4 linked regions of the Arabidopsis thaliana genome follow. The protein of the gene in region 2 purifies or fractionates together with the protein of the main gene of each other region. This does not show direct contact. Each region holds a gene or a part of one and is shown on either strand. Other genes may lie near its edges. The genes, in order: RH8, RS40, STRS1 and AT4G31360.

Region 1 (6,992 bases), about 13 Mb from region 2:
TCACTATAAATAGACCTAAATGTGCATTTAACTAGCAACTAGAACTTAAAGCCTGAAACTCATTCTCAATCAAATGGAGCCAAATATTCCGATCCAAAGAGGTAACTCATATCACAGAGTTTTAGTATTGTTTAGTTTCATGTTGTATCTTAATTTTTAGTTTATACCTACTACATACCACATAGGAGATGAGCAGTCAAAAGTTATTAAGGCATGGAAGGAACTAAAGATAACAAAGGTCAATAACAAGTAAGTCACAACACAAACACTTTTCAGCGTCGTTTCAGTACCACTGTGACAGATTCTCTGATTGCAGGACTCAGAAGAAGCTACTAGATATTTCAGGATGGGAGAAAAAGAAAACTACAAAGATCGAATCTGAACTCGCTAGAATTCAGGTGATTCCACAAAAGACATCTACCAATTCCTAATATATGATCTATGTACTCATGTATGCTTAAGACTGTTCTACTGCTGTAGCCTGTAGTGTATGATCAAAAACATGAATCTATCTAAACAGCAAGTTAACCAAATGGTACAAGACTATGAAACATGACATTTCATGTCGTCAAAGAACTAACATACAGACGAAAAAATTGTTGTTTTCTACAGCGGAAGATGGACAGTAAGAAGATGGAGAAATCTGAGAAACTAAGGAACGAAAAAGCGGCAGTTCATGCAAAGGCACAAAAGAAGAAGGCAGATGTTCAAACCAGACGGGCTCAAGAGATCCTTGATGCGGAAGAAGCTGCTGCTAGGTTTCAAGCCGCAGGAAAGATACCCAAGAAGTCATCTTTGAGCTGCTTCTGAGATCAGCACTAACCTGTGATACAGATTATCACCTATCTCCGGTATCCTATGTTCATACTTGTATCTTTTGTATGTTGTGTGTTTTGCTTGTGTTGCTCATAAAACAAGAGAGTGCAAAATTCATTGTCCATTGTCCACAGACCAAATCCTGAACTAATCTACCTATTGACAACACAAAACATGCTAAAATAAAATCAGCAACCTGTGTAAATGGAAAAAAAGGAAAATCTCATCTTAAGGTCTCAAAGACTTATTATTGAAGTTGGAAAGCTGGAAAAGGATCATGAAAGAGTCATGAAACCACAGCTCCTTGAAGACGCATCACAACACTGTAACCACTGATCAGTCTACGGCATAGAAAGAAACAATAGCTCAAACGACTTGTTAAAACTAAATAAAAGACTTCACTTTTGTAATACTACCCGGTATTTCAAACCTTTTAGCCTTGACTATAGTTAATCTTTAAAAATAAAGGAATCCCAAAGACGCAGAAAAAAACATTATGGAGGTAAGAGGCAGAATGTGAAGCCTTTTTGGGTTGTCCTTGTCCTGCATGGCTAGATAAGACAACTGTCTAACCATGGCTTCAACCAACCTGAAACATTGCACAAATCCAAATAATATATTAGGGGCCTCTTAAATGAGGAAGCAAACCCAAATCAAAAGAATTTTTCTAGCGTAAGTGGCAAAAGAACAATGAATAGGCCTATATGCATCAACCATATGAACTTATGTCCTCGAAATATGTAACTTAATGTATGCCTTGAATTATGTAATGTGGTGTTATGATTACGATAGTTGAAATTCCATCTTTGATCTTTCCAACAAGACTCTGTATTGTGTATACATTAAAACAAATTATCCTAGAGAATCTTGAGGTTACATGAAGTAAGTGACTCCGAAAGTAGGAACAATTCAAGCCTGTCCATAAGTAGATACTACGTACCACTTATTACTGATTCACCTAACAGCAGACCAAGGTGGTTTACCCTTGGTTATTGGCAATAAATTGCCTGATCGATATGTGGAGGAATTTGCTTGATCTCCGTTCCAAGCTCTTGCTCAATCCGGTAACTACAAAAATGTAACACAAAGGTTATTCTATGCTGTAGAAAACAATAGTACAAACCAGTCAAGAGAAAAATACATACAGGTTAAATCGATCTTCATAGGTGATAAGATTCACAGCTAGACCAAGATGGCCAAACCTTCCTGATCGTCCAACCTGAACAGAGACCAGATATTAAAATCAATTACCATCAATCAACATGTAGGAATCTAGTATCATGTGGACATTTGGTTTTTAGCTTACCCTATGGAGATAAGTTTCAGCATTCTTTGGGAAATCAAAGTTTATCACCACATTGACGGCTTGAATGTCAATACCACGTGTGAACAAGTCTGCAGCAACCATCATTAAATCATAAACTATTCAGGTAGAGGACATAGCTGATTTCGCAAAGTCAAAATATTAAAACCAGTATAAGTTGTCCCTCTAAAGCCTCAACTAAAGCCACTATTGGGGTCTAAGAGGTAGATAATTTAGTATTTGATTCATTGTGCTCCTGCAATAGCAGCATGATAACACTAAGGCATACCAGTACACACGAGATTACGGCATGCACCATTCCGGAAGTCATGGAACACTCTGTTTCGGTGGTCTTGAAGCATCTTTGCATGGATGTAAAAGCATGAATACCCAAGTTCTGTGATTTTCTTGGCTAAGAGCTCCACACGATTTACAGAATTGCAGAATATGATTGATTGGTTAATTTGCAGCTGCAGGAGAAGAAGAGAGTAAAATGCCAGCTAAGGAAAGAAACAAAAACAATCAATGTAGTTCAGATCTAACCTTGGAGAATAGTGTATTCAAGCAATGAATTTTCTGTCTTTCTTCAACGAAAGCATAGAATTGGGTAATACCCTTGAGCGTAAGTTCATCCATGAGATTGATGACGTAAGGATTCGTCAGAAACCTATCCTTAAAATCCTTGACAGTGACAGGGAAGGTGGCTGAGAACATCAAAATCTGACGACTTTCTGGAAGAAAGCTAATCAAATGTTCCACTGAAGGTTGGAACTCTTGAGACAAAAGCTTGTCAGCCTGATGAATGATCCATAATTAAATTAAATTGGGAGTAACATGAACAATTTTGCTACAGGTTGCAAATAGTGAAAAAAGATAGATAGAAAGAAATTTCAAAGAAAAAAAAATACAAAGTAAGCATCCAACATTTACCTCATCCATAACAAGCACCGAACAATCTTTTAAAACACAAACACCTTTCTTGGTAAGATCCAGAATTCTCCCAGGAGTTCCTACCAGTAAATGAACAGGCTGATACAAACGCATGATATCGTCTTTCAGACTGGTGCCACCAGTGGTCACCATGACTTGAATCTTCAAATGCTTACCCAGCTCTTTACAGACCTGTGATGTCTGAAGGGCTAACTCTCGAGTCGGAACAATTATAACAGCTGCGTACAAGAAAGGTATTGACGGTAAACTAAGTTAGAAAGGAAGCAGTAAACCTTTAAGAAACATATTAGGCTACTGATAGAAGCAATGGGTTTAGAGGCTCAAAGGATTCATTACGATTTACATTCACTAAGTTTTATACAGTAACTAGTGTTTATTGTGGATCAATAATCTATTTACGACGCCAGCTTTGGTATTCTGTTCTTATTAGCTATGAAAAATCACTAGCTAGACGATGTCAAAACTTCAGATTCTTTAATAGCATTGCACCACGTGAAAGAATCAACTAACAACATGGTCCAGTACACAGTTACCTTGAATAACGTTGTTATCTTGGTCAATTTTTTCCAAGACAGGAATACAAAAGGCGGCGGTCTTTCCAGTCCCGTTCTTTGCTCTGGCAAGGATATCTCTACCAGTTAAGGCAATTGGAATACTCTCTTCCTGAATAGGAGAAGGTCTTTCAAAACCCTTCTCATATATTCCCATGAGAAGCTCCCGTTTCAAAAAGTAATCTTCAAACTCGTTCCCTTTGGTGGCTGTCACATCCTAAATATGATAACAAGTAACGAATTGTGAACATCTCATCCCATGCAACCAAGAATCAATTCAGTTTCACAAATAGATTCTCACGCAGTTTAAGTATTGAGAAACAAATTTAACAAGTATTTAGGTATTACGCTTAAGAACACCTTTAAGTCACACCAATATAGCACACGAAACAGCAAAAATAAAGAGTGAATGCATCCTAATTTACTCTATTTCGTCAAAATATGGAACATTACCTCTGTTCTGTATCGAGTATCAGGTGCAGGTAGTTTTAGCCTTGCTTTCCAATCTTCCGAGCTGAAGAGAAATTAGATTGTAAAGGTTATCAAACGCACAAAAGTGAAACCAACACTAAGCAGTTCAATACCATGGTAACGTAAGAAACAAGGAATTATCACTTCAAATGAAAATAATCACATCCCAGATTTAACTAAGTAGTCCAAGCTTGAACAGCACTCACTTTGGGTCGATAACTTCGGATTGAACAGTTTTCTCAACTTCTACAACAGCGTCACCGTTACTGTTACCGCCGGGGATCTGACCTCTTCGAAGCCATTGTTGTTGTTGCTGCTGTTGCTGTTGGTATTGATGCGGCTGAGACGGCGCTTGTTGAAACTGTTGTTGGTGATTCTGAGCGTAATTACCGCGTTGAACGTATTGGGGCGGCGGATGTTGTTGATAACCCGACCGTGATTGGTAATTAGGGTTAGGGTTAAAGGCTCCACGGCCAGCGCCAATTCCAGGAGGGTACCTTCCTCGATTGTTCATCACAAACCTCTAAACACTAATAACCAAAAACTCTGACTAAGGAAGGGATCTGTACACCAAGAATACCAAAAAGGAACTAGGGTTTTCTACGGTAATACACAACCTAGGGTAATGTCGGAATTTTGAAAAAAAAATCTCGGTTTAGTTACAGAGAAAAAAATAAACTCTTCCGGAGAAATCTAGGGTTTGAAAAATCACAAAATCGGAGATAGAGAGTAGCAGATCTGGGAGTTTATAATCCAAAATGAAGCGAAATTCTGGGATTGATATTTTTCGAAAAAGGTCCACGCGAGGAAGAAAGCGAGACAGAGAGAGATCAAAAGGGTCAATAATATAGAGACGAAGCCAGAGTTCTCGCGTGAGACAGAGAGACAGAGAGACAGAAAGATGATTATCTCTATGTAATATTATAATGTTTGTGATTTCGTCGGATTTCGTTAGCGGTATTGGGCTTGGGCTTGAGCCTTGTGGTAATTAAAACGGAGTTTTAAGTTTTCATTTCTTTCTTTCTGAAATTTATAAAATTACACATTACTTCCTTTTCCTTACATATTTACCCTAACTTAATTAAAGTTTTCAGTCTGACCCCAAAAATCTATCTTTCAGCTTCTAAAGCTGTTTTTAGCTCAAGATTAACGCTATGCAAGATGTTACAAACACCACCTGGTCGTCATAGAGTATCCATCCAATTTCAGAGTATTTCTCTAATGTTTTTATACTTCATCAGAATTGCACTTGATCCATCTATGCACTGGATTTGTGACAAGTGATGACATCTTCCTCGTTTGCTGTGTCATCTGCTTTTATTCATTATACCTGATTATGTCTCAAATATGATTCTTCAAACACTACCAAAATTATATGTTGAGTATTCAATATGCGACCGAGATTATGGAATTTCAAACTTTCACAATTAATAGGTTTCTACTTTCACACAAATTAGGCCTAGTTTATTTCATCAGTTAACATTTACATCCAAATTTTTTATAGCGACTACATATCTACCAATATGTTATGATTATTGAAATAATTTGAATAATAAAGAGAAAATAATTTGACCAAAAGTAAGCATAAATTAAGCAAAAAATAAGTAAAATACGTCTATATAATAGAAAAGTTCACTTTCGATCTACGATGTCTACATCAACATCCAAGTCATCATATTGTGGCCTGCCTAAATTTTATTTATTGAAATCAAAACATTACAGCTAAAATTAATTCACACATTAAATAAAACAATAATTGACAAAATTAAATTAAATATTATAAAAAATTAAAAAATAAATACACAACATAAACTATGAAATTTTTTATATCAGTGTTAAGAAAATTAAAATAGATTGAACAAAAAAAATAAAGTGAACAAAAAACTATCATAAACATCACAAATAAAAATAAAAATTCTATGAATACGTAGGCTTTTTACAGTCTCTCGACCGACACGTCGACATTCACAGAATGGTGAAGATGTTTCTAGTAAGACCGTGGGGTGATTTATCAACGGTGGTGATTATGGAATCTTAAATGGATGTTTTGATAGATCCAGTGGGATGGACTCCATGAAATAGCAGCACTAGTGGGGATTTGTCCACATTGTTCTACCGCGAATATCAAAACAAAGGCCCCAGAGCAAACGCAAGCCAGAGAGTCCATCCGAATGGGAACAAGATCATCACAGACCCGATGGAAGCAGTCATGTTTACGGTTAGAGAGTTCATAAATAGAGATTCGTGGCTCAACGCCACCGGAGTTCCATACAACGAGGGTTAATGATTAAAGAGAAATTGTAAAAAATGTTCTTCCAAAATTATCATTTTTTAATTATAACCTTTCCTGTTAGTCATTTTCATTTATACGTTAATTTAATTTTTAATGACTATTTTACTCATATTTTGAAAATATTTTAGGTTAACAAAATAGAATATCGATTTTTTTCGCCAAAAATATTCCGAAAATAATTTTTCTGTCAATTTTTTTTTTCCAAAAACATTTTTCCCGTTTTTGTTTTGGCGATAAATAGATTTGTAAATGGTTTTAAAAGTAAGGAAATGTGATAGATTACAATGATTTTTAAATGTAAATTGGTGGGAATTGTTTTGATGGGAAAAATAAAAAATTTGTAAGGAAATTGTTTTTTGGCATTGGTAGAAAATAGAGATTGAGACCTAAGTCGAGCAAGTTCCACAATTATTGGGCTTAGATCAATCGCCGTAGAGTTAATACTATACGAAAAAGACCAAAATTGGTCTCTTGGTAATGGGCTTTATTCTCAAGTATGTATATGTATGTTTCTCGTAAACGACATCGTTATAGTAGAATTAGGGCTTAATAACGATGTCGTTTCAAATCTTTCCAAAAGGACCAAAATTAGCCCTCTTGTTTCCAA
Region 2 (5,003 bases):
TTCTTTAAATTCTATCGAGTGTGTGCCTGTGTGGTTGGCTGGCTGCTGTTGTTACAATCGTTTTTAAATTCCTATGAATAAACAAATTGTCATTAATTGTCACCCGTCTATAACATAATAGACATAAATATCTCTGTGAAATGATATTTTAAATACTCATGTAGTATTTGTATTGGAAGTAGATGTCCTAATATTTAACCAAAAATAATACTACAATATAGAAAAGCTTGATTTTTTAAAAAAATTAATCAGATTTGGTAATGGATAATTATCAATTTCGATGGACGGTTAAAAATGAGTCATAAATGCATATGATGAACAAAATTATTCAGTTTAAACAAACTATAACCAAAAACATGTAAATGGACCAGGACAGGACTAAGCGAAGGATTAGACCAATACAAAATAGCAAGTTATCTTGAATCCCAATAATTCCCACAAAATATCTCAATCTCAATAATAGCTATATTGTATTGACAAAAAAAAGGTATAAAAAATCTTCACAATAAGATATGCATGAAATATATTCGCTGACAAAAATATCTCTCTCGTTACCTCTCGCTCTCACGTTATTGACATTTAGGAGAAAAGAAGACACAACAAAGAGGGAAAAAAAGAGTGGTAAGGTGAAGAAAACAACAAAATTGGCTTTAGTGGAAAATAGAAAGTAAAGCTTGAGAGTGACGTATGGGGCCAGTGAAGGCTGGTGGGGAAGGTAGGGACAGTGTTTCCGCGGCCGAACCACGGGTTTAGAGGATTTTGACGTCCCCACGCATTATCTTGTGGAACCCATCTTTCTGTTTTTGGAAAATCGTACGGACGTTCGTTTTTGAATTATTTGCTGAATCGGGTTGTTTGGGTTTCTACTCTGTTTTGGGATTCTTCAGTGGATTGGACTGGATCTTTTGTAGCTTTTTGTTGGTAGATTTGAGACGCCTCTATTTTATGAATATCTTAATAGCTTTTTGTTGCATATTCAAGCGAGATAAGAAGATAATTGAGGCTTTATGGCATATTTGAAAAGTCGAAACTCGTTCTCATTCCACGTGTGATGATATGTTCGTGGCCACATATCATTCGGCCTTGAAAGCAACTACTAAACTCTTAACATAAGTGAAGCAATCCAATGAAGAGGAAAACAATTTATTTAATTAATTGTAATATATAAATATACACATTTCTTTATAACAACAATTATTAAACTTACTAACAAACTCATATGTTTCATCGAATCCAAAACTTGACATGTGGGATCTTGAGAGTGTTAAGTTGCAAGACTTTTTAAAAACTTGTATGCATTATTCATTGTGTAGATGTTATGTGATACATGTTCTAGTTCTATTAATCAGTATATTCTAATCAAAATTAAAAAATCTAATATTTGTTTGTCTTCATAATCTGTTATTGTTTTGTTTTTTTAGAAAGCAGCTTCAATTTTGTTTACTTGTTGGGCTTCTTATAATTTGTTTAACATATAGGCCCAATACTCCTAAAAAGTAGACGTTCTCGACTTCTCGTCCTTCAGACAAAATAAGAAAGTCAAAATGTGTTCTGAAAAAAATATCTTTGAAACTAAAAAGAAAAGAAAATAAAATAAAAATCCAAATGATCTCTCTTGCCTTCTTTATCTAAATCGTACCTAACTCTGTTTTCAGTTTCACCTATCTCTCGACGCGAGCTTCTTCTTCTTCTAGGGCTTCCACGCGACTACGCCTGCCAAAATCATTCTACAGGTAAATTGATGCAGTTTATTCACTCTCTATATCGTCGTGGTTCTCATCTCCTTCTTCCTTCTTTTTTTTTTGGTTGGTGAAAAGTAGAACAAGAGAATTGGTCCATCTCGTTTTTTATAAGTTGAATCTCATCAGAGCCTTCTTTGTTTTTCTGGTATGAAAGATTCATGCTTTCGTGGATTGTTCTCGTTTTCTCTATCTTGTGAATGATATTCAGATCTAACTGTAGTTAGATTAGATCTGTTGCATTGTACTTTTGATTCTAATACTGTCTAGTTCAGTTCCTAGATTTAACTGATTTGGAGCTCGAATAGATGAGTTTCAAGTCCTAATTTACTGCAAAACAATTCGATTTAGTGTGAGGGCTCTAGTTTTTAGTGTTAAAAGTTTTCATCTTGGTGACAAATTAGTTGTGATATTCGTGTTTAAATTATCATTTAAGGAAGTCTCATGAATCTTTTTTACTATTGTGGTTGTCTATACAGGAAGCATGAAGCCAGTCTTCTGTGGGAACTTTGAGTATGATGCGCGCGAAGGTGACCTGGAACGACTATTCAGGAAATACGGCAAGGTTGAGAGGGTTGATATGAAAGCTGGTGAGCCTTTTTTTTCTTTCTTTCTTTCTTCTGCCTCTTACTACTCTGTCTTTGTGGTTAACCTGAATGAATTATAATAAGCAGTATTGTTATCCACTAAGTACAATGAAAAAGCGAAATTCAAATGCATTTCATGAAATCCACTCTCGTCTTCATTCCATCCACGAGAAGGCTCTGGTGGACTATCTCCCTTTGGAAGGAGTACTAAACATTGACCACATTCACCTGGCCACCTGATGCAGCCTGCTTGAACTTTGGAAAGTACTTCAGAGGAATAAGATTTTTAGAAAAAAAATTAGTGTAAAACCGCATTTTCTTTGACGCAGGATGTGTTTGATAATCTTGGGACGCCTATACTCACACCTGGCCATGAATGGACCATAGGGAAATCCATCTCTTATCCCTCAAAATCAGTCACTTTCCATCCGCATTAGCACTGCCATCTTAATTGCATTTCATTCCTCATCACTTTGCACACTTGGACATGCCTCTGCAATGGAGAAGGCTCTCTATTTTCATTCATATCCCCGTCTGACTTCCACATTTTCAGTTGTTCCTTGACATATTAATTCCATAATGCAAGGTCTGTAACTGCTTCACTGGTCATTTGGAGTTTTTTTAAGGTTCTAGGAATGTTCAAAATTTAATATGTTCTAGGAGTTAAGTTAGGCGTTGAAGGAGGGAGGACAGTGTTCGTGTATGTTGAAGGTTCTTAATCTGGTCCACTTCCTCACTGTTAATGTACTCAGATCTTTGCTTTTGGCTTTTTCTTTTTTCTCCAGGGTTTGCTTTTGTATACATGGAAGATGAAAGGGATGCGGAAGATGCCATCCGAGCACTTGACCGCTTTGAATTTGGGCGTAAGGGACGCAGACTTCGTGTTGAATGGACAAAGGTAGGATACTTACCCCAGGATTTATTTCTTTCCAGACTTAGTTATGAGGTTTGAAATACTGATAACATAAATGGTTCTGTGTATATAGAGTGAACGTGGAGGTGATAAAAGATCTGGTGGTGGTTCAAGGAGATCCTCATCCAGCATGAGACCTTCCAAGACTCTCTTTGTGATTAACTTTGATGCGGATAATACTAGGACCCGGGATCTAGAGAAACACTTTGAGCCGTATGGAAAGATCGTAAACGTTAGGATCAGGAGGAATTTTGCATTTATCCAGTACGAGGCACAAGAGGATGCCACCAGAGCATTGGATGCTTCAAATAACAGGTTTGTTCTGTCCATTTTAGTATCTAATCACTTTCCTTTCTTAGACTCACGTTTCATCTGTGTTTTCATTCAGTAAGCTGATGGATAAGGTGATCTCGGTGGAGTATGCTGTGAAGGATGATGATGCTAGAGGAAATGGACACAGTCCTGAAAGACGCCGTGATAGGTCACCTGAAAGGAGAAGGCGATCACCTAGTCCTTACAAAAGAGAAAGAGGAAGCCCTGATTATGGCCGAGGAGCTAGTCCTGTTGCTGCCTACAGAAAGGAAAGGACCAGTCCTGACTATGGTCGAAGACGTAGCCCAAGTCCTTACAAGAAATCAAGACGTGGCAGTCCCGAGTATGGTCGTGACCGCAGAGGCAATGATAGCCCTCGCAGGAGGGAGAGAGTCGCAAGCCCTACTAAGTACAGCCGCAGTCCCAACAACAAGAGAGAGAGGATGAGCCCTAATCACAGCCCGTTCAAGAAGGAGAGTCCGAGAAATGGGGTTGGTGAAGTTGAAAGTCCCATTGAAAGGAGAGAGAGATCGAGGTCTAGCCCCGAGAATGGCCAAGTTGAAAGCCCTGGGTCAATAGGAAGAAGAGACAGTGATGGTGGGTATGATGGTGCAGAGAGCCCAATGCAGAAGAGGTTAGATTCTGAAATAGGTCGATACTTGTTTATATATTATTGATGACATGAATCGTAAACCATTTCTCTTGTTGTTGCAGCCGGTCTCCTCGTTCGCCACCAGCTGACGAGTGATAAGAGTGGATCCACAATCTCTATCAAAGTAGGATGTTGTAACTGTTTGTAGTCAACAACGCTATGTCGTCGTGATTAGTTTTTGTCGTTTGGTTTTTGATAGATTCGAACTCGGATCACTTTTATTGTCGGATTGAAAAACTTATGTCAAGTTACTACATTTCCGTTTTTTTTTATCACCTCTCAGTTTGAACCCCAATCATGTAATGCTTTCCCGTGACAATAAGATGCGAACCTCAAAACATCTTGCATCGAAACACCTTGAGAGTGACAAAATCGAACGCATCGTTAAGTAACTTAAATGGTACGCCGAAATTATGGAAGGCAAGAACGGTTCTATTGACTTAATTGGGTCTAAAAACTACTCTAAACGCCTCTTGTCAACGTTCGAACTAGTCCCTAACCTTTGACTCAAATATAAATATTGGCTACAAATAGACTTATAGTTCTGCCTACATTGGTCGTCTGCTTTAGTATATTTGTTACCAAGTAAAATGCTGCTGTAGAGTTTAATGATCTCTTTGTCTACTGGGTTTCTCCAATTTTCTGATCGTTGGGATTCGTGCAAGTCGAGAGAGTCTACTTGGTTGAAACTTTCTGGGTTTTGATTTGAGTTGCCCATTGGATTTGAAGTTTTAGTCTTTTGTTGGTAAGTTTTACCCTTTGAGATATGCTCGTCTGATAGTATAGGGCTTTCGAGTGTT
Region 3 (5,201 bases), on a different chromosome or scaffold from region 2:
AGAAGAACAGTAGCAAACGTTGTCCAAATCACAACGATGGGCAGGAGAGCGGCTAGACTGCCAAACAAGATAGCTTGTGTGTCCAACAAGACTCGGGACTAATCCGGGATGTCCACGACTTTACGATGCAAAGAACATAGCTTAGAACAAACACTCATAAATACAAACTGTCAACCACATTCGCAACCCTATAACACTTTAGAGCCATGATCTAAGAACATTTAGCTATGAGAAAAATTAATAATTGCAACAATAAAATATATGTATTTTTATATAAGTCGACCCAAATAGATCGTATAACATCAACTAAGAAAAAATCATGTAAAATGTAAAATGTAAAATATCCATCTAAGGAGGAGCCATACCACTCACGTTGGCTTTATGCAGCCAAGAAGCATCAAAATAGCAAAAATACTTCCTCAATTAGTGTCATTAATATATTGAAGTGTCTGATCAATTAATGTTTCAAGAAAAAAGATAAAACCTTTTTTTCATCAAAGGAAAATAATATAACCTTTTTTGTGGACAAATAAAAGTTTAATAACTAGTAACACAAAATTGCATACAAATATAATGAAAATTCTGAAATATATTTGTTTTTGTTATTCGGGCCAAGCCCCAGACCACAAACGAAAATCAAATGCAGGTTTCATTGTCCAAGTAAATATAATAAAATAATGATACCATTAAAATAATAAACTAAGCTAGTCTTCGTCATCAGAATTATCGAATGTGATCTTCGTAGCTTTAGGAGCATCAGCAGCTATTTCTTTGAAATGAGCTCCATACAATTTTGATTCCTGCAATTTTTAATCAAACAAAACACTCATCAATCACTCCAGAATCCAGATGATGAAGAAGAAGAAGCAATTTGTGTGGAGAATCAAAAATGTGAGGGAAGAAAATCAAACCTTTTTCTTTACATGAGTGCCAAACTTCAAAAGATCAGCTGGCACTACTTGTCCTGCTTCCCTAAGAACATTCACAAGTTCTCCTGCAAGACCCTGTAAGGAAGATACGATCAAATTTGAATCATTTCCATTCTCAACAACTCTGTGGAAAGGATGTAGCTCAAAGAAATTTTTAAAAAGAGTGTTTTCAGTATTACCTTGTTCAGTGGCGTGAAGAAGGTGTGTGCAACGCCCTTTTTACCCGCTCTTCCTGTCCTCCCGATTCTGTGTACATAATCCTCTGTTGTTAAAGGGAAAGTGTAGTTTATCACAACTTCCACGTCCGGGATATCAAGCCCTCTTGCTGCAACATCAGTAGCCACCTGTAATTTATAAAACAGTGTCAATGCTCTGTTTCAGAACCAGTCAATGTATTTTTATTAGCCATGGAATTGCGGAATGATAAGAGTACGCATACCAGTAACGGGCAGGATCCTTCTTTGAACAATGATAAAGACCTGGTACGTTCGCTCTGTGCTTTGTTTCCGTGTATAGATACAGCTTTCCAACCTCTAAAATAGTTGAGTAAATATCGAATTTCATGAGCAATAATATCAAAGATCTTTTTCTCTTTAGTTGATGTGATTTGGGCTAAAAGATCAAACCTTTGCTGAAGAAAACGCTCGAGACGTTCAGCTTCCACCTTGTATAAAGCAAATACCAAAACCCTGTTCCTGAAAATACCAAAACGCTTGGTATTAGTATGTTGAAAAAGGAAAGATCTGGTAAGAGTTCAATGATTAAGTAGCAAATTTACTTTTGAGATTTATGGTATTTTTCTAGTAATGCAATGAGACGCTGATCACGCGCACGTTCATCCAAGACCTGCATTTGTAACCAAACCTTGTTAAGAGTATCATATAAAGGACAACACTACTTGCTATGAGGATGATCCGATAGAACATACCTCAATGATTTGCATAACGTCGTGGTTGGCAGCTAAGTCTACAGAACCTATGATCACCTGAAAGAAATTTGAATGATCATCGGAAATTTTAAGCAACTTGCAGGTGAGGAAAGACAAACTGAGGAGGAAAACAGACCTTGATTGGATTTGGATCCATGAATTCCTGGGCCAATTTGTGAACATCCAAAGGCCAAGTTGCACTGAACATAACCATTTGACGAACTATAAGACAGATAAGAAAGAAGAAGAGTTTTCATTACAATTTAGCACATATATCAAATTTGGCTTCTCACAAGAATGCTAAGTGAAATGTAAAAACCACCTGCCTTTATTTGTGTTACTCAATATAAACCGGACAGGTTCCTCGAAACCCATATCAAGCATTCGATCTGCTTCATCCAATACCTGACATGTAGGAACTTCTGTTACCATCTAATAACTCGAAAATATGATTCCCGTTGTTTCATTATAGGAGCAAGAAACGATGCAACGACTATGATGATGATCCTACGAGGCTAAGTCATCAAATAACATAATCAAAAGATGTTCTGCTGCTTACGACAAAGGAAACATCCGAGAGACGAAGCACATTAGACTCAATCAAGTCTCTCAAACGACCAGGCGTACCAATGACAATATCCTAACAAATAAATCAAGAAAAAACATTACTCAACTGATCCAGAAACATAAGAGAATGTCCTAATCAAAGAACATAATAAGAAATCTTACAACTCCAGATCGAATTGCACTTATTTGAGGCCCTTTAGAGCTTCCACCATACACACAAATCGATTTCAAACCACACGGTTCTCCAGCTTCACGCAAAACATCAGAAATCTACCAAACCACCAAAAACAAACACAACACTAAGAAACTTGACCATACGTTTTCATTTTCACATTGTAATCATAATGAACAAGAAACAATATATATACCTGAACAGCCAATTCTCGTGTAGGAGAAAGAACTAAACAAGTAGGATTAACCTTCTTTGATCCTCCACCAATCTTCTTATTTTTCTTCAACACATGCATAATCGCAGGAATCCCAAAAGCCAATGTCTTACCTAAATACACACAAAACACAAAAAGTTTCAATCTTTTCAACCAAAGTTCAAAACTTTCACACTTCCATAAACATTACTAACCTGACCCAGTTTTCGCAATCCCGATAAGATCACGCCCATCTAACAAAAACGGCCACGTATGTGACTGAATCGGAGACGGCTTCTCGAAAGTCTTACAACAATCTAAAACATTCTCCGGCAAATTCGATTCAGCAAAAGTCTTCAAAGCTGCGTACTTTGCTTCTTCCACACCTTTCCCAGTCACAACAACCTTCTGTTGTTCACTCTCTCCTTCTCCTAAATCCTCAGCTTCAAGCTTCTTCTCCGGGACATCCTTCTTCTTATTCTTCTCAGACTCTTTCTCCTCTCTCTTACGTTTCTTCTTCTTCTCTTTATTACTCAACTCTTCCTCTACACCATTAGTGACCTCTTGAGGCACTTCTTCGACTTCATGATTTTCCTCTGTATGTTTGTTCTTCTTGCTTTTCTTCTTCTTCTTGTTGGTCATCGGACTCTCGACGGCTAAAGGTTCGCCGGAGACGGGAAGCTCTTGCTTTTGTCCAGCCATTTCTTTGTTTCGTTTACAGGAGAGAGTTGTTGATGAAACGGCCGAACGAGAGTCCGTTGTTCAATTTAGGTTTTTAGGGTTTTAAAGCATTGCAAAAATATTTTCTACAATTGCAATTTTGCCTACATAGTTTTGGTTATTACATAGAGAGTCTAGACATCTCTTTTGTTAAAGTAAAACCCAAATTTAATTTGATTTGTAGATCGATAACAAGTCTTTAAAGCCTCCCGAACGTTGCATACCAACCGTCGGATAGGGGATGACCCATGGACGCGAAAGAGGACGTGAGACCCACTGGTAGGGGCGGTCGGGGCGTTACAGCAAAATCGCATGTGATTGTTACCAGCAATATGAGTGTAAGGCAATTTTTGGATGTGAAGTATACAACGATGAATCTGAATTTATTTCTGTCCCTTGACCCCATTGTTGATGACAACCAGAACACACTGATTAAAAAGGACTGCTCCGGTCGGGTGGATAAAGACAAAGGGATAGTAGGCGATGCACAAGTCTTTTATACTAATGGCTTCAAAATGTCTGCTATGGTAACAAAACACACCAACCGGAGTTACCTCAACAATCCGACAAGTATAAGGAGAAAATTGTTTGACGACGCTGGTGTTAAGGGTTCTAATGGTGTTGTGCGATTTCACTCTGTAGAAACATCCAACGTTGTGACCATTTCTGTTGTGAATGATTTCTACAACAACGAGATGGGTGACGATGGTGTTACCAATGTTACTGGCATTATAAGACTTGCAAGGAGCACAAACGGAGATTCAAATTGATGATTAAAATCATTCGACGGTTAAAAGTCAAATTGAGGTTAGTTTTGATGATCAGTTCTCATGTTTGGTTCTTCACAAATAACATAATAGAGCTTTAATTGCGAAATTGATGAATTTTCATATGGAATTTTGAGTTGTTTATGTGTCATCAAACATGGAGGTAAATGTAGTTGTGCTTATGTGTATTTTGATTTTGTCGCTGATACATAAAAACCTTAATATTTTTCATCAAATATAGAAAATAGAAGGGTGCAAATTGTAATAAACAAAAGATTGATCTAAAACCCAATGGGCTTATTAGCCTTACATCCATATCCAAACAGACCCATTTTTCTCACTTATCTCACCGATGTGCCTCGCCGGAGACGCCGTCGTTAGGACATGATAAGATTCTGAAATGATCGTTTCCATCTGGTCGGATTGCTCCTGCTTTTTTTCTCCTTTGCCGTAGACTACGGAGGGAAACCAATATAATGGTAAAGTTTCGAGCTTTGTGTTTTGTTTCCGCCGGAGAATTATACAATTTACTGCTGAGAAAAGAGAACATTTTAATCATATTCTCTTTTTAATTCGTGATGAGAAGGAGTTAATTTGTTAGCCTATTGAGTGCTTATAATGCTACTATAAAAAGAGCTATTGATGTTCTGAAACTTAACAATGCAGAGTAATCTGAGATCATGGTCATGGACAAGCACTTTGGAGGCTCCATGAAATTACAGATAGAAAACTCAAGGTACCATCTCTTTTTACTTCTCGATGTTTAGTTAAATTAGTTTGGTTGTGTTCAAAGTTCTTAAGAGTTTAGACAGATACCAGAGTGACAGTAGTCATGCCTTAGAGTAACAGTGAACAAACAGAGAACAAAGGACTACTTTTGTTTTGTTTTTTAATTTCAAAGCATCCCCGAATAGACCTAGATTGG
Region 4 (4,027 bases), 2.2 Mb from region 2:
ACATATGGATCATGTTCGGTGTCTTGTTTCAATCTTTAGACAAAAGAATACCCACGGCTTAAAACATTATGTCTTTAGACAGAGACTCGAGGTTCGAAAGTAACCAATCTTTTGTCAAAAAGATTGGATTTGGTTATGTTTGGTGCAAGGAAAATGGTACCCACGGCTTTAAACTTTAGTCTTTCGAGTGAACTGAAACTTGAGATTCCAACATTGATTCTTTTGGTACCCACGGCTTGAATATCTTTAGACATATGGATCATGTTCGGTCTCTTGTGTCAGTCTTTAGACAAAGATCAAGTTACCCACGGCTTAAAATAGTCAGAGACTTGAGGTTCGAAGTAACCAATCCTTTAGACAAAAGATTGGATTGGATTGGCTTATGTTTTGGTTGATGAAAAATGGTACCCACGACTTCAAACTTTAGATTGAGACTTGAGATTAGAACATTGATCCTTCTTTGGTACCCACAGTTCAAAAATCTCTAGACATATGGATCATGTTCGGTTTCTTGTTTCAGTGTTTAGACAGAGTTGGATAATAATGGACGATGTTGGGTTATGTTTGGATAATAAATTTACAAGACCAGATTTTAAACAATGGAAATTTGGATAATAAATTTACAAGACGATGTTGAATAACCGGTTTTGGATCCCGTCATTGATAGTTAGCGATTCCACAAATTCAACTTGTTTTTACATCGTTATGTAGATTTAGAATACAAGTTTGTGTTGAAAAAAAATATATACAAGTTTCTTATTTTTTTAGAAAAGATTCCCAAATTTTTCCATACGTTTAGCATGCTACCAACCTTGTAAGAGGGTTCGTCGTTGTGTGAGATTAGTGTAATTTGTTATGGGATCAGGATCAACCAATCAAGATTTCACCAACTTGCTAATATGTGAAAGACAGACAAATAGAGTAACAGTGAAGACTGAAGATGATGGTTGTGATGTGATGAACAAGTTCTAAAATATTTAGGTCCAAAAGATCTTCCCATGGAGCTTGGTTGTGAAAGTGCTAACTGAGATTTCTCCAACATGCACACATTGTTGCAAAAGCTTCCCCCTGCATTTTATTATACAAACAAACAAACAAAAATGTCACCATAATGGATGAATGTTTGTTCACCATGAGTATGCGACTTATTAACATATTACATTTTAGCATTACTACATCCAAATACTTCAACTATCATCATATATTGGAAATTTGGATTGATGGCTTGAGTCATAAAAACCTACAAAAGGATTGGACGATACTTTTAGTAAAATCTCTTAAAATTGTCCGCAGTGACCAAAATGCTAAAAAGCTAGAAGGATATACAGACTTTTATCTTACTTTATGTATCAGAAAATCAATATTTCTTAATAAATATGATAAAGTGTTTCAGTTTATTTTGAGTTTAGAAAAAGCCAAATGAATTGGAATCAAAATAATGTAGGTAAAAAAGAGAAGTGGAATTAAAATAAAATCATTCTATCCAATCAAAACGGTAAGTAGTTGTGCGTTTTAGAGGCAAAACACCACAGCGTTTCGAAGCACGTGGATGTGTCGTGTGATACAGCAGTAGCGCACTATTGGGCATTGAGAATACATAATCATAACCCCTGCAATCTAACGGTCAACCTTTTAATAACCCTTGTAGGTTAAATCTCTACCGTTTATTCGAATTACTTTTCCAAGGTAAGAAAAAAGCAAACACAAAAGGGAATATCAAACAACAAAAAAGTAAGAAAGAGCGGTAAGACAGAGACGGAGAAGAAGGAGAAGAAGATTGTTAAGACGAAACCCTGTTGCTGTCCGTACAATGCCGCCGAAGAAGAGTAAGGCAGATGGAGAAGAAAAGGCGAAACCTTTAACGACGTTGGCGTCGTCTAGAGTGACTCGGAGCATGGACAGTCGAACTCGAAGTCAGACTCAACAAAACGGTGCTAAAGCGGCTGGATCCGCCACTAAGCCGGCGACGAAGAAGGCTAAGAGGAAGAATTCAGCGATTGAGACTGGGAGAGCCAAGAAGGGAAAGAAGGAAGAGGAAGTTGAAGAGCCAGAGGAAGCCGTTGAGGAGGAGGTTGAGAAGGAAGAGCCAGAGGTTGAGGACCCTACGAGAACCAAGATTGTTATAGAACACTGGTAATTTTTGCGTAAATGTTTTCGATTTCTTTAGAGATAATGTTTGGAATCATAAGAGCAAAAATTTAGGTTTTTTTCTTTGAAATTGAATCTAAAAGCCTACAACTTTGGGGTATGTGTTGAGACTTGTGTGTCCGTGTGTAGCAGCTAAGGTTTATTTGCTAGGGTGGAACAATGTGTTAGGTTTTCATCTTGATTCTGCATAAGTTTTTGGTTTGAGTGATTAGTGGTTTATGTTTTGCTCGCATTTGTGAAGAGGACTTGACTATCTGCTTTCTGTTTGTGTTCTTGTCTTGCTTTAGCTGAATTGCAATGCGTAATGGACGTGTTCATTCTATAAATGGAATTTGCTTCTATACTTATGTCTCACAAGAGTTCTTTTTTGTTTTGTTTTGTGATGTTATTGAAGTAAACAATGCAATGCTTTCAAGACAAGAGCTATTCAGGTGAAGGAAGCTTTGGAGGGAGCTGTTCCTGGCGTCACGGTGTCTCTTAATCCTGAAAAGGTAATGCTTTTACTGCAGATGAATATATCGTCATGAATGCTCCGTTTTGACTAATGCGTTAGAGCATACTTTTCACATTATACTTGATAAGATTTTCTTCTAAATTACTAATTCTTTCTTTTGATGTGCTTGAACAGCCAAGGCGGGGTTGCTTTGAGATCCGGGAGGAAGGTGGCCAAACATTCATCAGTCTTTTGGTAAAAACTTTCATTCTAATAAAAACAAATCTCAATTTGTCTCGCTTCTGCATATGATTTGTTCAGTTTGAGTAAGGTTTATTGTTATTACTAATTCTCATAACACCACTTGCTCTATATGCATATGAGAATGAAAATCAACTTGATCCTTATTCATTACGAGAAATGTGTTATTGTGAGTAGAAATCATGAATATGTTTTTGCCTTTCAATCTTAACATAGACCTAAAGATGTAGATTATGTTTATCTCATTTTGTAGGAGATGAAACGTCCATTTGCACCAATGAAGGCACTTGATATGGAAGAAGTCATCGAGGACATCATAAAGAAAGTCAAATGAATCTGTTCTTTGTTTCTGCCTCGGTCTCAGTTTAATCAATTAGGTTTCTGCAGAAGACTTTCTAGAGTAATGTCAGATTTGTTAGGTTCACTTTTATTGTTTCGGTATGAGCACTGTAAGTGCAGTCTCGTCGTTTGGCAATGCATGATTAGTTGATAGAGAAGGATCTCTGTAGTTTTTGGGGTTAACTCGTATTTGTAAGGCTAGTTTATTATTCATCTCGTTGCTTGAAGCAAACCGATGCATAAGTGTTTTTTGTTGTTGGGACCATGCATGGTTCTAACAATCTATGCACTGGTTAAAGCATGTTCTAACACAATTAGAACTGTGTTACAAAATCAATAGGACAAACATCACATTTGCATTCAAAATGGCTGATAAATACAATGCATGATGAGTAGAAAGCTCATTACATTTAGGTTTCTTTCACTTCCAATGGCCGTGTCTCTCTTCTTGGCTAAAAGCTACAGAAAAATTGTTTTGAATCTCACCTACCATTATTGTCTTTAACCCACATCACCCGAATCTTAGAACCCAGCAAAGCTAGCCAAAAATGCTAACAAGAGAATAACATCAAAGCTCCAACCAGCCTTAGAAGCAGAAGAAGATGGTTTAGCCTTATCAGCAGCTTCAATCTTCTCATTATCGGCGCTTGGAGCAGGAGCTGGAGAATCAGCCTCTGGTGTGTCTGTTGCAGGTGCAGGTGGAGTTTTTGGGACAGCAGAATCTGGGGAATTGTCATCAGCAGCTGGTCCTGGAGCTGGAACCACTGAAGCATCCATGGGAGTTGGATATGGAGCTACATGAACGTATGGTGGTGGAGGTGGGAAAATTGCAAGGCTGAGTCCAGG

The links.
Region 1: the proteins of RS40 (region 2) and RH8 fractionate together in Arabidopsis thaliana (co-fractionation; one large-scale study listed by BioGRID). This does not show direct contact.
Region 3: the proteins of RS40 (region 2) and STRS1 fractionate together in Arabidopsis thaliana (co-fractionation; one large-scale study listed by BioGRID). This does not show direct contact.
Region 4: the proteins of RS40 (region 2) and AT4G31360 fractionate together in Arabidopsis thaliana (co-fractionation; one large-scale study listed by BioGRID). This does not show direct contact.

What each region holds. Positions count from the first base shown.
Region 1 is NC_003075.7:272,252-279,243, reverse strand, and holds RH8 (RNAhelicase-like 8), read right to left. Parts: upstream 4,993-6,992; 5' UTR 4,607-4,992; coding exon 4,299-4,606; intron 4,136-4,298; coding exon 4,075-4,135; intron 3,839-4,074; coding exon 3,604-3,838; intron 3,289-3,603; coding exon 3,050-3,288; intron 2,915-3,049; coding exon 2,663-2,914; intron 2,590-2,662; coding exon 2,409-2,589; intron 2,212-2,408; coding exon 2,123-2,211; intron 2,036-2,122; coding exon 1,962-2,035; intron 1,885-1,961; coding exon 1,806-1,884; 3' UTR 1,800-1,805; exon of another isoform or gene 1,565-1,799; intron 1,406-1,564; 3' UTR 811-1,405; coding exon of another isoform or gene 613-810; 3' UTR 507-612; downstream 1-506. Other genes in the region: AT4G00670 (Remorin family protein), read left to right, coding at 74-101, 186-249, 317-398, 613-810. UniProt on the Arabidopsis thaliana protein: ATP-dependent RNA helicase involved in mRNA turnover, and more specifically in mRNA decapping.
Region 2 is NC_003075.7:13,022,945-13,027,947, forward strand, and holds RS40 (arginine/serine-rich splicing factor 35), read left to right. Parts: upstream 1-1,553; 5' UTR 1,554-1,733; intron 1,734-1,820; exon of another isoform or gene 1,821-1,887; intron 1,888-2,010; exon of another isoform or gene 2,011-2,218; 5' UTR 2,219-2,223; coding exon 2,224-2,329; exon of another isoform or gene 2,330-2,905; coding exon of another isoform or gene 2,906-2,912; exon of another isoform or gene 2,913-3,068; coding exon of another isoform or gene 3,069-3,111; coding exon 3,112-3,224; intron 3,225-3,312; coding exon 3,313-3,554; intron 3,555-3,627; coding exon 3,628-4,185; intron 4,186-4,265; coding exon 4,266-4,299; 3' UTR 4,300-4,496; downstream 4,497-5,003. Other genes in the region: AT4G25510 (uncharacterized protein), read right to left, coding at 4,499-4,559, 4,704-5,003. UniProt on the Arabidopsis thaliana protein: Required for constitutive and alternative pre-mRNA splicing. Involved in primary miRNA processing and pri-miRNA biogenesis. Binds both intronless and intron-containing pri-miRNAs.
Region 3 is NC_003070.9:11,478,211-11,483,411, reverse strand, and holds STRS1 (DEA(D/H)-box RNA helicase family protein), read right to left. Parts: upstream 3,650-5,201; 5' UTR 3,492-3,649; coding exon 3,005-3,491; intron 2,924-3,004; coding exon 2,793-2,923; intron 2,695-2,792; coding exon 2,587-2,694; intron 2,498-2,586; coding exon 2,417-2,497; intron 2,263-2,416; coding exon 2,184-2,262; intron 2,080-2,183; coding exon 1,994-2,079; intron 1,915-1,993; coding exon 1,858-1,914; intron 1,776-1,857; coding exon 1,708-1,775; intron 1,625-1,707; coding exon 1,556-1,624; intron 1,463-1,555; coding exon 1,369-1,462; intron 1,274-1,368; coding exon 1,109-1,273; intron 1,005-1,108; coding exon 912-1,004; intron 801-911; coding exon 705-800; 3' UTR 522-704; downstream 1-521. Other genes in the region: AT1G31960 (uncharacterized protein), read left to right, coding at 3,758-4,279. UniProt on the Arabidopsis thaliana protein: ATP-dependent RNA helicase required for 60S ribosomal subunit synthesis. Involved in efficient pre-rRNA processing, predominantly at site A3, which is necessary for the normal formation of 25S and 5.8S rRNAs.
Region 4 is NC_003075.7:15,220,135-15,224,161, forward strand, and holds AT4G31360 (selenium binding protein), read left to right. Parts: upstream 1-1,708; 5' UTR 1,709-1,810; coding exon 1,811-2,133; intron 2,134-2,542; coding exon 2,543-2,639; intron 2,640-2,776; coding exon 2,777-2,836; intron 2,837-3,095; coding exon 3,096-3,176; 3' UTR 3,177-3,493; downstream 3,494-4,027. Other genes in the region: FLA5 (FASCICLIN-like arabinogalactan protein 5 precursor), read right to left, coding at 3,704-4,027.